Linked DNA regions of Elephas maximus indicus. The protein of the gene in region 1 interacts with the protein of each later gene in a biochemical or structural test. Links are inferred from orthologs where the notes say so. Each region holds a gene or a part of one and is shown in the gene's direction. Other genes may lie near its edges.

Region 1 (3,749 bases):
CCTTTTGGTTAGCAGCTGAGCGCTTAACCGTTGCGCCACCAGGGCTCCAGGTGGTGGATATATACATATACATATACATATACATATACATATACATATACATATACATATACATATACATATACATATACATATACATATACATATACATATACATATACATATACATATACATATACATATACATATACATATACATATACATATACATATACATATACATATACATATACATATACATAACATGCATACATATACATATATACATATACGTACAATGTCGCTCCTCCTACTTCTGCAGAACGTGTGTGTGTATGTGTGTAGGTGTGTTCAAGTGTGGGGAGCCAGCCACAGGCCTTTCCGAATGAGTGACAGGAGAGGCGTGCAGAATGACCAATGATATGAATGGGGGTGGATGGGTACCAGTCTCTGCAGAGGCCAGTGTGGAACCCGCGGTGTCCACCCTTTCCACCCACCGGTCCCCCAGCCCCCGTCGGGTGCTTCCGCTCTCGGTACCGCCTGGGTGCCCTCTAGGTGCTCATCTCCTCAACGCAGCCGCGGGCCGAGGCCGGGGTGAGGGGTCGGGGCTCAGGGCTGACGAGGGCGGGCTGCAGTAACCGCGCCGCAGAGCTGCGGCTGAGGACACTTCGCTCGGAGGTCGGCCGCTGCCGGGGTGCCAATATGTAAAGCAGCTGGCGGCGCGGGGCGGGGCCTGGGCCCGATGCAAATGAGGGAGGCGGGGTCAGCCCCGGCTCCGCCTCCCTCCTCCGCAGCTGGGGCCAGCGGTGCCAAGCGCAGCTGGACGAGCGGCGGCAGCTGGGCGAGTGACAGCCCCAGCTCCGCGCGCCGCGGCCGCCAGAGCCGGCGCAGGGGAAGAGCCCGCGGCCCCGGCAGCAGCAGCGGCCGCCTCCTCCGGCCTCGCGGGCCCGCAGCCCGCCGCCCCGGGGCTGGCCCCTCTCGGGCTCCCGCTCCCCGCGCGCAAGATGGCTGACCCGGCTGCGGGGCCATCGCCAAGCGAGGGCGAGGAGGGCACGGTGCGCTTCGCCCGCAAAGGCGCCCTCCGGCAGAAGAACGTGCACGAGGTGAAGAACCACAAATTCACCGCCCGCTTCTTCAAGCAACCCACCTTCTGCAGCCACTGCACCGACTTCATCTGGTGAGAGCGCGCCCGGCGCAGGGTGCCTGCCCGGCCCCCGAGGGCAGCGCCGCGCGCGGGGATCCTCTCGCGCCCCCAGGGGCCCCGTGTCCCCAAGCTCCCCGCGCCGGACGCTTCTGCTCCGGACTCCCGGCGGACTGTTCTGTGGCGTCCCTCTCCCCGGCCCCAGACGGCTGGCCGCGCGGAGCCTCCTGCCCTCGCTTCTTCCCCGGTCCCTCCCGAGAGCAGCCGGCCAGCGCCGCGGGCGCCTTCCCCTCCACCTGGCTCCGAGCGCGGGGCGCCTGTCCGTCCGGGGGAGAGCAGCGCTTCGGGTGCCCTCTTGCCCTGGGTTACCCCTCTCTCTGTCTCCTTCCAGGCGGGAGGCGCCCTTACCCCCACCCCGTTTCCGGGGGCAGTGCTCCGGGTGTCTTCTCTCCAGCGCCTTGTGGGCATGGGGCATCCTTTTCTGCTCTCAGTGTCTCGGGGGGCAGCATGCCGCGCTCCATGTTCTCTTTTATCGCGCCTCCCTAGGGGCCTGGAGTGGCCCTTTCCACTCCCCAGTCCTCCCCTGTCATCGCGAACCCTCTTCGCTCCCGTCCATCCAGGCATGGGGCTCCTTTCTCCCTTCCCAGTCCCCCCAGGTCTCCTTCCCCTCTCATCCTTCTCTGGGTGCGTCTTTACAGCTTCTCTTTCCCCGAGGGTACTCGGGGCATCTGTGGGTAGATCTCCCTTTTGCTCTCCACTCCCACCGGATGGAAATGCAATCCTCCCCCACAACACACACACACACACCCGGTGGTCGCTGTCACCTCCCCTCTGCCAGGGTGAGGGGAGGTTGAGGTTACCGCCGAGTTCCCACCTACCCCCCAAAGGCGGAAGCCTCTCGGGCACTCGCCTGCGGCTAGGAGGTTGCACCTGGGGTAAAGGGGTAGGGTGGAGGGGGGACTGTGGGGGAACTAGCAGGCGGCTGTGGGCTCCCTGACGTTATCTCTTTCTGCCTTTGCAGGGGCTTCGGAAAGCAAGGGTTCCAGTGCCAAGGTAGGCACCAGGGTCCTGGGGCTATGGGGTTCTGGGGATGCCCTTTGTGGGAAGAAATGGTGAAAGGGTCTGTAGAAGTGAGCGAGTTAGATCTAAGGAACCACTTCCGTCAGAGTGACCTCCAGGCTAGGAATTCATCGCGAAAAAGGGTCCTTTTAAGGTGTGTGTGTGTGTGTGTGTGTGTGTGAGGGGCAGTGATGCTCTGTCCCAGAAAGGCTGATGGAACTGGGAGGCCCTAAATGGCAAGGAAGTGCTATCCACTCTTTCTCCCTTTCAAGCATCTGAAGAGTCAGAATGGGTCTCCTGAATCTTCCATGGTGTTGCCAGTCCTGCCTCTGCAGGAAGTGTCTCCAGGGGCCATTTCTGGGAGGATTCCTCCTCTCTAACTCATGCCCCCTCAGGTACTCACTTGCCCTTCCTTGTCTCCTAGAGTGAGGTTCTGCCTCTTCCCCCACCTCCCAGAGAGCTCTGCATGTGGCTGCCTTCTCTGCAGATGGTGCCTCCCCTAGAAAGGCAACTGTGGTTGTCCCCTGGGCCTCCTCCCTCTGAAAGAGGTGGCTCCAGATGGGTACCTCTCAGATCCTCGTTCAAATCATCCTTTCTGTCTTCTGGGTAGATACAGCTAGGACTTCAAGTTACTGGTTTCCTCCATCCTTGCATCTGGGTTGGGATCCTTGACTCTAACCTGAGATGTTCCACTCCATGGTGGTGACTTTTAATCATGTGTGAGGGGACCTTGGCTGTGTCGGGTTACTGTCATAAAACATAGGTTGCAAATTGGCTGCCCAGGGTCAAATCACCTGTAGGCTTGTTCAGCCCTTGTTGTTGTTGGTAGGTGCCATTCAGAAGACTCAGACTCACGGTGACCCCATTTGTGCAGAGTTGAACTGCTCCCTATGGTTTTCAGGGCTGTGGCCTTTTGAAAGCAGATTATCAGACTTATCTTCCAAGGTGCCTCTGGTTTTGAACTGCCACCCTTTGGGCTAGAAGTCCATCCTTAACTGTTTGTACAACCCAGGTTCAGCCCTTAGGGAGTTCTTAGACATTTTTTTATTTTGGCCAACATTTTAGAACTGGGAGATTTCACCTACAAATCAGAATTTCCAGTTTTGCTGAGAAATGGTCCCACTTTTTCTTGTTACAGCAATCCTTTTTGGAGCTGGAGAGCAAATTATTTTCAAAGACAGGGCACACACATTCAGTATTTTGTCACAATCAATCCTGAGCAGACTTGCTTCACTCATTTCTGGCCCCTGTAGGTATTTAGTTTGCAACCTCTCCTCTGGAAAGTTTTTTCTCCCCTAATCTTTTTTTTTTTTTTTTTAATCTTAGGCCAGTTTGGTGAGAAATGTCTTATTTCTGGGGTGTGCCTTAGGGTTAAACTGACCATTATGGTGAGCTGGGTGAAAGCCAGAAGAAGAAAGCCTTTGAACATAAAGAGTCTAAGATGTGAGTTATCACTGAATGACAGCCTTGTGGTTGCACTTCCACCCTTCGGGAAAAGTAAAGTGTTCCCCGGTGAGTGTAGGCACCAATGTCAGTTGTGCAGAATGCTTGGTGGCATGGTACTGCCATC
Region 2 (3,749 bases), on another chromosome or scaffold:
AGGACCTTTGCACTAACTCTTTATTCCAAATGAAACATTCTTCCTCATATGCCTTCCCTCTGACTGGCACATTGTTCCCCCATCTCTCCACATGGCCCTCTCCCAGATCTAATTTCCTGTCTCCAATGTCCCACTCAACCACCCATCACCACCAAAGAATGTAAGCGCCAAGAAGGGGGTCCTCGTTTCTTTGCAGCTGTATCACCAAGACCTAAAACACGACGTGGTGCCCAAGGGATGTGAACTAAATAAGTTACACAGATTAATTCTATCAGGCATTGTTCTGGGCGCTTTACCTTTCTTGACTCGATTACTCTCCATAACACCAGGTGAGGTAGGCACTATCATTTCCAATCGTATTTCAGAGAAGAGACTAACGTTAAAGCATATTACAAATAGAAAGTAAATATGTATGTTGTTGGGTGCCATCCAGTCCGTTCCGACTCAGCGACCCTATATGACAGAGTAGAACTGCCCCCATAGGACTTCCAAGGAGCAGCTGGTGGATTTGAACTGCTGACCCTTTGGTTAGCAACCGAGCTCTTAACCACTATGTCACCAGGGCTCCAAATACTATATACAATCCCCCCTTTATTTTGTACAGGTGATAACGGCTGCGGTCCTCCCGATCTACTTCCCTGAGCGGCGTTCTGGCATGAAAATATGTTAGGGTTTGAGAGTTCACCTGAGCATGGTTCGAAAGTTTATGTTTCTTTAATACGGCTTTTTTCCCCCAAATTGCCCACAGGTACTCACAGTTGGGATCTCGAAATTAAGTACCCGCTTCATTGTCCTCTGAACTACCAAGCGGAAAGGGCGGGGCTCGCGTTGTGCCACCTAGCGGACGGTGAAGCCGTAAGGCGATCCTCATGGGAATGTGCCGTACATTTCAACTCTTTCACGTCTAAGAAATCACACCCCAGCAAAGGTTTAAGGAACCTCTTTAAATATTCGGTCGTGATAGTTTCAGAGTGTATTCGTGCGGAGCTGTCAAATTATGTTGCGTGGCGGAGGGGACGTGTCGTGCGATTTCAACAGCTGTTTCGGCTACATGGCGCTGCCATCTTAAGCAGAAGTGAATCATGGGAGCCACCATTTTGGTCGGGCGGGCGGGTATTTCCGGTTCCGGCAGTGGGTTCCTCGATCTTTTTCTACGCAGGGCCGCGGCGAGAGCGCCGGTGCTGCTGGTCTCTCTGAGCTATCTGGTGCCATCCTCGTCGCTGCGGCGACCCTCGCACCCGCCGCCGTCATGACTGAGCAAATGACCCTTCGTGGCACCCTCAAGGGCCACAACGGATGGGTTACCCAGATCGCTACCACTCCACAGTTCCCGGACATGATACTGTCTGCCTCGCGAGGTACGTACTGAGGTGCAGGAGGAGGGTTGCGCGCCTTACGAGGCTGGGCTGTGGTGCGCGAGTCGCGGGTCCGAAAGACTCCGCCGGGGTTTGAGGGGGGACATGTGACCCGGCTGAGCCCGGTAAGGCATTCCCATCATTGCTAATGAAGTACCGAGGAACAGCCTGTGGCCGCCAGGAGGGTGGGAGGTTTCTTTATAGCCTTCACGCTTCTGCACGGTGTAGCTAGTTGTGCCCACGAGCCTACAGGCCTGGCGGAGCGGTGATGATTACAACATGCCATCTGAGCATAGGTGCTGAGACCCAGAGGCTGTTTCTGAGCTGTCGCCCGGCCCTCGGCTCTTTTGGGAATTGGTGGTCTCCAGGGGAGCTCCATGGCACAAACCTGGATTTGACCGGCACCTACTCTATGCCCTGGCTTCTCTTCCTCTCATTCTCGGTCGGCCTGAGTGCGTTTGGAGGCTTCCTGTGCTTTCCAAATGCTCCCACACTGGGAGTTTTTTGAAGCTAGGATTAGGGCTGGCCCTTAATTGTAAAGTTTATAGTGTAGGACACGTTTTAGTGAAATCATCCAACCCTGTAGCGTGCAGAACAACTTTCCAACACTGATTCACTTCTGGCAATCCTCAAAAATAGTCCCGGTGCCCACGACGAGTCCTCTACACCCAGGCTGCTCTGTTTCTGCATTAGACCTCAGATAGGACACGAAAGGGTTATTGAATTGATCTCAGTCTCAGCCCCTAGCAAAATTCTGAACCCCTGATTTACATTTGTATGAAAGACTTTTTAGTTTTATCTCTCTATTCCAGCAAGTAACTTCTTACTAGCGTATAGTTTACCTCCTTGTCAAGCTTCTCTGTAATTTGTCATCTTGTAAACCCATGACCTCGAGACATTTTGGATTATCCAGTAATCAGCAAGGTAGCTGCAGAGTTCAGACTGGCAGGATGGCTAGTATAGAGGAGGGCAGAGTTTCTCAATGGGTTTACTTTTTGTTTTATCTCTCCTTAGATAAGACTATCATCATGTGGAAGCTGACTAGGGATGAGACCAACTATGGCATCCCCCAGCGTGCTCTGCGTGGCCACTCTCACTTTGTTAGTGACGTGGTTATCTCCTCTGATGGCCAGTTTGCCCTCTCTGGCTCCTGGGATGGGACACTGCGCCTCTGGGATCTCACAACGCAAGTACCTGCTCGCTTAGCTTTGGGGCCTTGGGGGGAAAGCTGGGCAGAAATGAGGAAAATGGCTGAGTCCTCCCTCCTTGGTTGATTCAGACTCAGAGAGACCCTAGAAGACAGTAGAACTGCCCCATAGGGTTTCCAAGGCTATAAATCTTTACAGAAGCAGACAGCCACATCTTTCTCCTGTGGAGTGGCTGGTGGGTTCAAACCACCAACCTTTGGTTAGCAGCCAAGCGTTATAACAACAGTGCCATGTGGGCAATTTGAATTGAGTGAAGCAGTTAGGAGTACACACAGTGGTTTGAAAATGTTTGGCCTTGGTAGCTCTGTCCTGGGTGTTGGTCAGCTGGTGACAATTATAATGGAGCATCCTGGTGATGACAGATGACATTGTCAGCTGATCCCCATGTGGGAGTGAGGACATGTCCTGCAATTCTGAGGGATTCTCTGGCATATACTCAGACAAAAGCTTGCTGTGGTCAGAGCCATAGCTTGGGTTATCTGAGTAAAGAAAATCCCCTGGGGACAGGGACAAGGCCCGGAAAATGATGTGACTGTGGTAGGAGAAAGTTTGCAAGGTGTCTGTAGAGAGTGACCAGGTCCTCCTTCTCAGGGGCACCACCACACGACGATTTGTGGGCCATACTAAGGATGTGCTGAGTGTGGCCTTCTCTTCTGACAACCGGCAAATTGTCTCTGGCTCCCGAGATAAAACCATCAAGCTGTGGAATACTCTGGGTGTCTGCAAGTACACTGTACAGGTAAAGTGAAGGCATGGGGGAAAGAGTGCATCTTTGAGGTTCATTCCCGCTCTTCCTCTTAAACGTTAATCACGTGTGGTGGTTTCAAGTATTGTCTGGCATCTAAAAGTTTCGGGACGAGAATATAAGACTGCTAGCATCCATCTCACATAGCTGAGAGGAGGAATAGTGGTCTAGAGTTTCATGGGCCAGAATGTTTCCCCTTATTTCTCTGTCTCCTGTAGGATGAGAGCCACTCGGAGTGGGTGTCTTGCGTCCGCTTCTCCCCCAACAGCAGCAACCCCATCATCGTTTCCTGTGGCTGGGATAAGTTGGTCAAGGTGAGCTTGGAACCAGGGCCACAAGGCCTTTACCAGCCAGAAACTGCTCCCATTGCATCTAGATGGTCATAGGCTCCAACTCGGAAACCTTTGCAGATTCTCTCCTGAGACATTTCTGTCCAGCATG
Region 3 (3,749 bases), on another chromosome or scaffold:
GCAGCAATGGGTTCCCAGCATCTGTCTTTCCTCAGGAATTCCTGGGTGGTGCAAATGGCTAATGCACTTAAATGCTTACTGAGAGGCTGGATGTTGAAGTCCACCCAGAAGCTCCTCAGAAGAAAAGCCTGACAACCTACTTCTGAAAAATCAGCCATTGAAAACCCTATGGAGCACAGTTCTACTCTGACACACATGGGGTCACCATGAGTCAGAACTGACTCAATGGCAACTGATTTTGTTTCGTTTTGTTTTTGGTCTTTCTTTAACTATGTGATATGCACTGGGTCATCAGAAAAATTAACAGTTAATTGCAAATAGAGTGGTAGATGCCATAAGGTCACAGAAGTTTTTTACTGTAAATATGAAGTAAAATATGCCAAAATAGTATTTAAAATCTTCGATTGACCCCCTTTTCTGTTTCGGATTGGAGACTGTCACATCAACACACGAACAAAATGCCTACCAAGATGACATGTGTCTCTCACTCCAACAAAGCTGGCATTAATCCAAAAATAATGAATGTTAGAGAGGTTGTGGAGAGACTGGAACACTTATACACTGCTGGTGGAAATGTAAAATGGTACAACCACTTTGGAAATCAATTTGGTGCTTCCTTAAAAAGCTAGAAATAGAACTACTATACGATCCAGTAATCCCACTCCTTGGAATATATCCTGGAGAAATAAGAGCCTCTACAAGAACAGATATATGCACACCCATGTTCATTGCAGCATTGTTTACGATAGCAAAAAGATGGAAGTAACCAAGGTGCCCATCAACAAATGAATGGATAAATTATGGTATAGTCACACAATGGAATACCACACATCGATAAAGAACAATGATGAATCCATGAAATATTTCATAACATGGAGGAATCTTGAAGGGATTATGCTGAAATTAGTCAGTTGCAAAAGGACAAATATTGTATGAGACCACTATTTTAAGAAGTCAAGAAATAGTTTAAACAGAGAAGAAAATAATCTTTGATGGTTACGAGAGGAGGGAGGGTGGGAGGGGTATTCACTAATTAAATAGTAGATAGGAACTACTTTAGGTAAAGGGAAAGACAACATACAATTCAGACGAGGTCAGCACAACTGGACTAAATCAAAAGCAAAGAAATTTCCTGAATAAACTGAATGTTTCGAGGGCTCGTGTAGCAGGGGTAGGCGTTTGGGGACCATGGTTTCAGGTAACATCGAAGTCAATTGGCATAATAAAATCTATTAAGAAAACAGTCTGCATCCCACTTTGGAGAGAGGCGTCTGGGGTCTTAAACGCTAGCAAGCGGCCATCTAAGATGCATCAATTGGTCTCAAGCCATCTGGATCAAAGTAGAATGAAGAACACCAAAGGCACAAGGTAATTATGAGCCCAAGAGACAGAAAGGGCCACATAAATGAGAGACTACAACAGCCTGAGACCAGAAGAACTAGATGGTGCCTGGCTACAACCGATGACTGCCCCGACAGGGAACACAGCAGAGAACCTCTGAGGGAGCAGAGCAGTGGGATGCAGGCCTCAAATTCTCGTAAAAAGACCAGACTTAATGGTCTGACCGAGACTAGAAGGACTCCAGAGGTCAGGGTCCTCCGACCTTCTGTTAGCCCTAGACGGAAACCATTCCCAAAGCCAACTCTTCAGATAGGGATTGGACTGGACTGTGGGATAGAAAATGGTACTGGTGAAGAGTGAGCTCCTTGGATAAAGTAGACACATGAGACTATGTGGGCACCTCCTGTCTGGAGAGGAGACGAGAGGGTCAGAAGTGGGCTGAATGGACACGAAAAAAGAGAGTGGAGGGAAGGAATGTGCTGTCTGGTTAAAGGGAGAGCAACTAGGAGTATATAGCAAGGTGCATATAAGTTTTTGTATGAGATACTGACTTGGTTTGTAAACTTTCACTTAAAACACAATAAAAATTAAAAAAGTACAGACAACTCCCTCTATTAAAAAAAAAGGCTTGTCTTAGCACATGATATTTGTAGTTTATTTCTATTACAAACACTGAACCATCTTCATGGATACATCTTGATGCTTGCAAAATTTTTCTCTTTGGATGTTGGGGTTTCACCCCTGACAGTATGGCAAGCCTGAGATTATCACTTTTTTCTTCTTTTTCTGTTATTTTGGAAAAACACTGTAGTCTCTTTATGGAGTAAAACTCCTGGTTTGGTTATCATTGGAAATAATTATGAAACAAAGCCCAGGTATGAAAAATTGTCCATACAGGCTCCTCTGTTGAGTAAGATCTCACTCATTAAAAACCAAAGTTGACAGTTTAACAGGCTCATCATTGTTCCAATGGGTTTCACCACATCAAAGATGTAGAAATTGTTCACTACAGATTTGTAAGTAAGCTCAATTAAACCCATGCTAACCTTGCTGACTTGATAATCTACCCCTGTCAGAGATTGTAAATTTGAAAAAAGGCTTTGATTCCATAGGAGGGTGCTGTGGGGTTGGGACAGAGACAGATGCTAGCCATACCTAGAAGCAGAATCTTCGATGTGGTGAAAAAATGTGAAAGTATTCACTAAAGATGATCTGTTGAGCAAGGTAAGCACTGTGCTTACCTTGCCTATTGGATAATCTGCCCCTGCCTGGGGGACCATAACTGTTTTGTTTGGATGTTCATTTTGCCAAATGAGCTGACTCCCTGCCGTATCTACATTGTATCCAAAGGGGTGAGCTCAGGCACTGATTTTGAGAAGTGTGACCCTTAATATACCAAAAAATCAGATACCCAAGAGGCTTTCCCTAGTGAGGGGGAGAGGGAGGGAGGGACAATCACTTCAGGTGAGAAGGGCAAAGTCAACAAAGTCCCAGGATGATTGCAGTGAGCACAGAAAACAGACAGTTGGCCCAATTTCTTAGCAGACCAAAGGGGGCAGCAGAGCTCCCATAAAGTGCTCTGAAAGTTCAGTGATTATTTCTGTTTTTGCTCACAGCGGCCGATCACTGCTCTGCTCTCCCTTAACATGTTGACATAATCCAGCAGGCGATTATGTGGAAATCTGGTCTTAAGCTACCTAAAATGATTTCCATTAACTCATTAAAAAAATTATTTTGTTGTAAAAATACATATAACAAAACATTTGCCAATTCAGCATATTTTACAGGTACAATTCAGTGACATCATGTTGTGCAACCATCTCTACTATCCATTTCAAAATTATTCTACCACCATAAACAGATACTCATAGCCCCCTAAGCTAAGATTCCTCATTCTACCTCCCTCCCATCCCTGGTAACCACTAATAGACCTTGGTCTCTATATTAATTTGCCTACTATTTGCACATAAGTGGGATCATACAGTGTTTATCCTTTCATGACTGCCTTACTTCACTCAGCATAATGTTTTCAAGGTTCCTCCATGTTGTAGCACGTATCAGGACTAATTTCCTCTTTATGGCAGAGTCCATTAGCTCTTTAGACAAAGCTGTATCTGGCATTCTTCATCAAACCCGTCATATATATGCCCCCTCAGCATCATTTGTCACAGCAGCCCTGGCCTTTTCATACTATCCATACCAGTCTGTGAAATGAAACCTGAGCATTCTTAGACCGTTAGTCGGGGCCTGCCTTCCTTGGGGCAGTCCACCCCATCTTGTGGCTGTGCCAACAAACTGGAGCTTTGGGTGCTGAAAAAATGAAACCAAGATGGAGAGGTAGATTGACGTGTTTCAGGTGTACCTGGACTATAGAGTAGCTTCTACCTGCTGTATGAGTCTGTGGTTCC

The links.
Region 2: the proteins of PRKCB (region 1) and RACK1 form a complex in vitro, tested with the Homo sapiens proteins (2 studies listed by BioGRID). The link is inferred for Elephas maximus indicus from reciprocal best matches to the Homo sapiens genes PRKCB and RACK1.
Region 3: of the proteins of PRKCB (region 1) and RASGRP3, one has a biochemical effect on the other in vitro, tested with the Homo sapiens proteins (2 studies listed by BioGRID). The link is inferred for Elephas maximus indicus from reciprocal best matches to the Homo sapiens genes PRKCB and RASGRP3.

Annotation. Positions count from the first base shown.
Region 1 is NC_064830.1:84,018,852-84,022,600, forward strand, and holds the start of PRKCB (protein kinase C beta type), read left to right. Parts: upstream 1-776; 5' UTR 777-983; coding exon 984-1,156; intron 1,157-2,141; coding exon 2,142-2,173; intron 2,174-3,749. UniProt on the Homo sapiens protein: Calcium-activated, phospholipid- and diacylglycerol (DAG)-dependent serine/threonine-protein kinase involved in various cellular processes such as regulation of the B-cell receptor (BCR) signalosome, oxidative stress-induced apoptosis, androgen receptor-dependent transcription regulation, insulin signaling and endothelial cells proliferation.
Region 2 is NC_064820.1:199,939,098-199,942,846, forward strand, and holds the start of RACK1 (receptor of activated protein C kinase 1), read left to right. Parts: upstream 1-1,197; 5' UTR 1,198-1,249; coding exon 1,250-1,358; intron 1,359-1,614; exon of another isoform or gene 1,615-1,682; intron 1,683-2,369; coding exon 2,370-2,541; intron 2,542-2,909; exon of another isoform or gene 2,910-2,985; intron 2,986-3,154; coding exon 3,155-3,302; intron 3,303-3,526; coding exon 3,527-3,622; intron 3,623-3,749. Other genes in the region: uncharacterized protein LOC126067361, read left to right, coding at 749-1,197. UniProt on the Homo sapiens protein: Scaffolding protein involved in the recruitment, assembly and/or regulation of a variety of signaling molecules. Interacts with a wide variety of proteins and plays a role in many cellular processes.
Region 3 is NC_064844.1:33,288,439-33,292,187, reverse strand, and holds the start of RASGRP3 (ras guanyl-releasing protein 3), read left to right. Parts: upstream 1-1,038; 5' UTR 1,039-3,749. UniProt on the Homo sapiens protein: Guanine nucleotide exchange factor (GEF) for Ras and Rap1.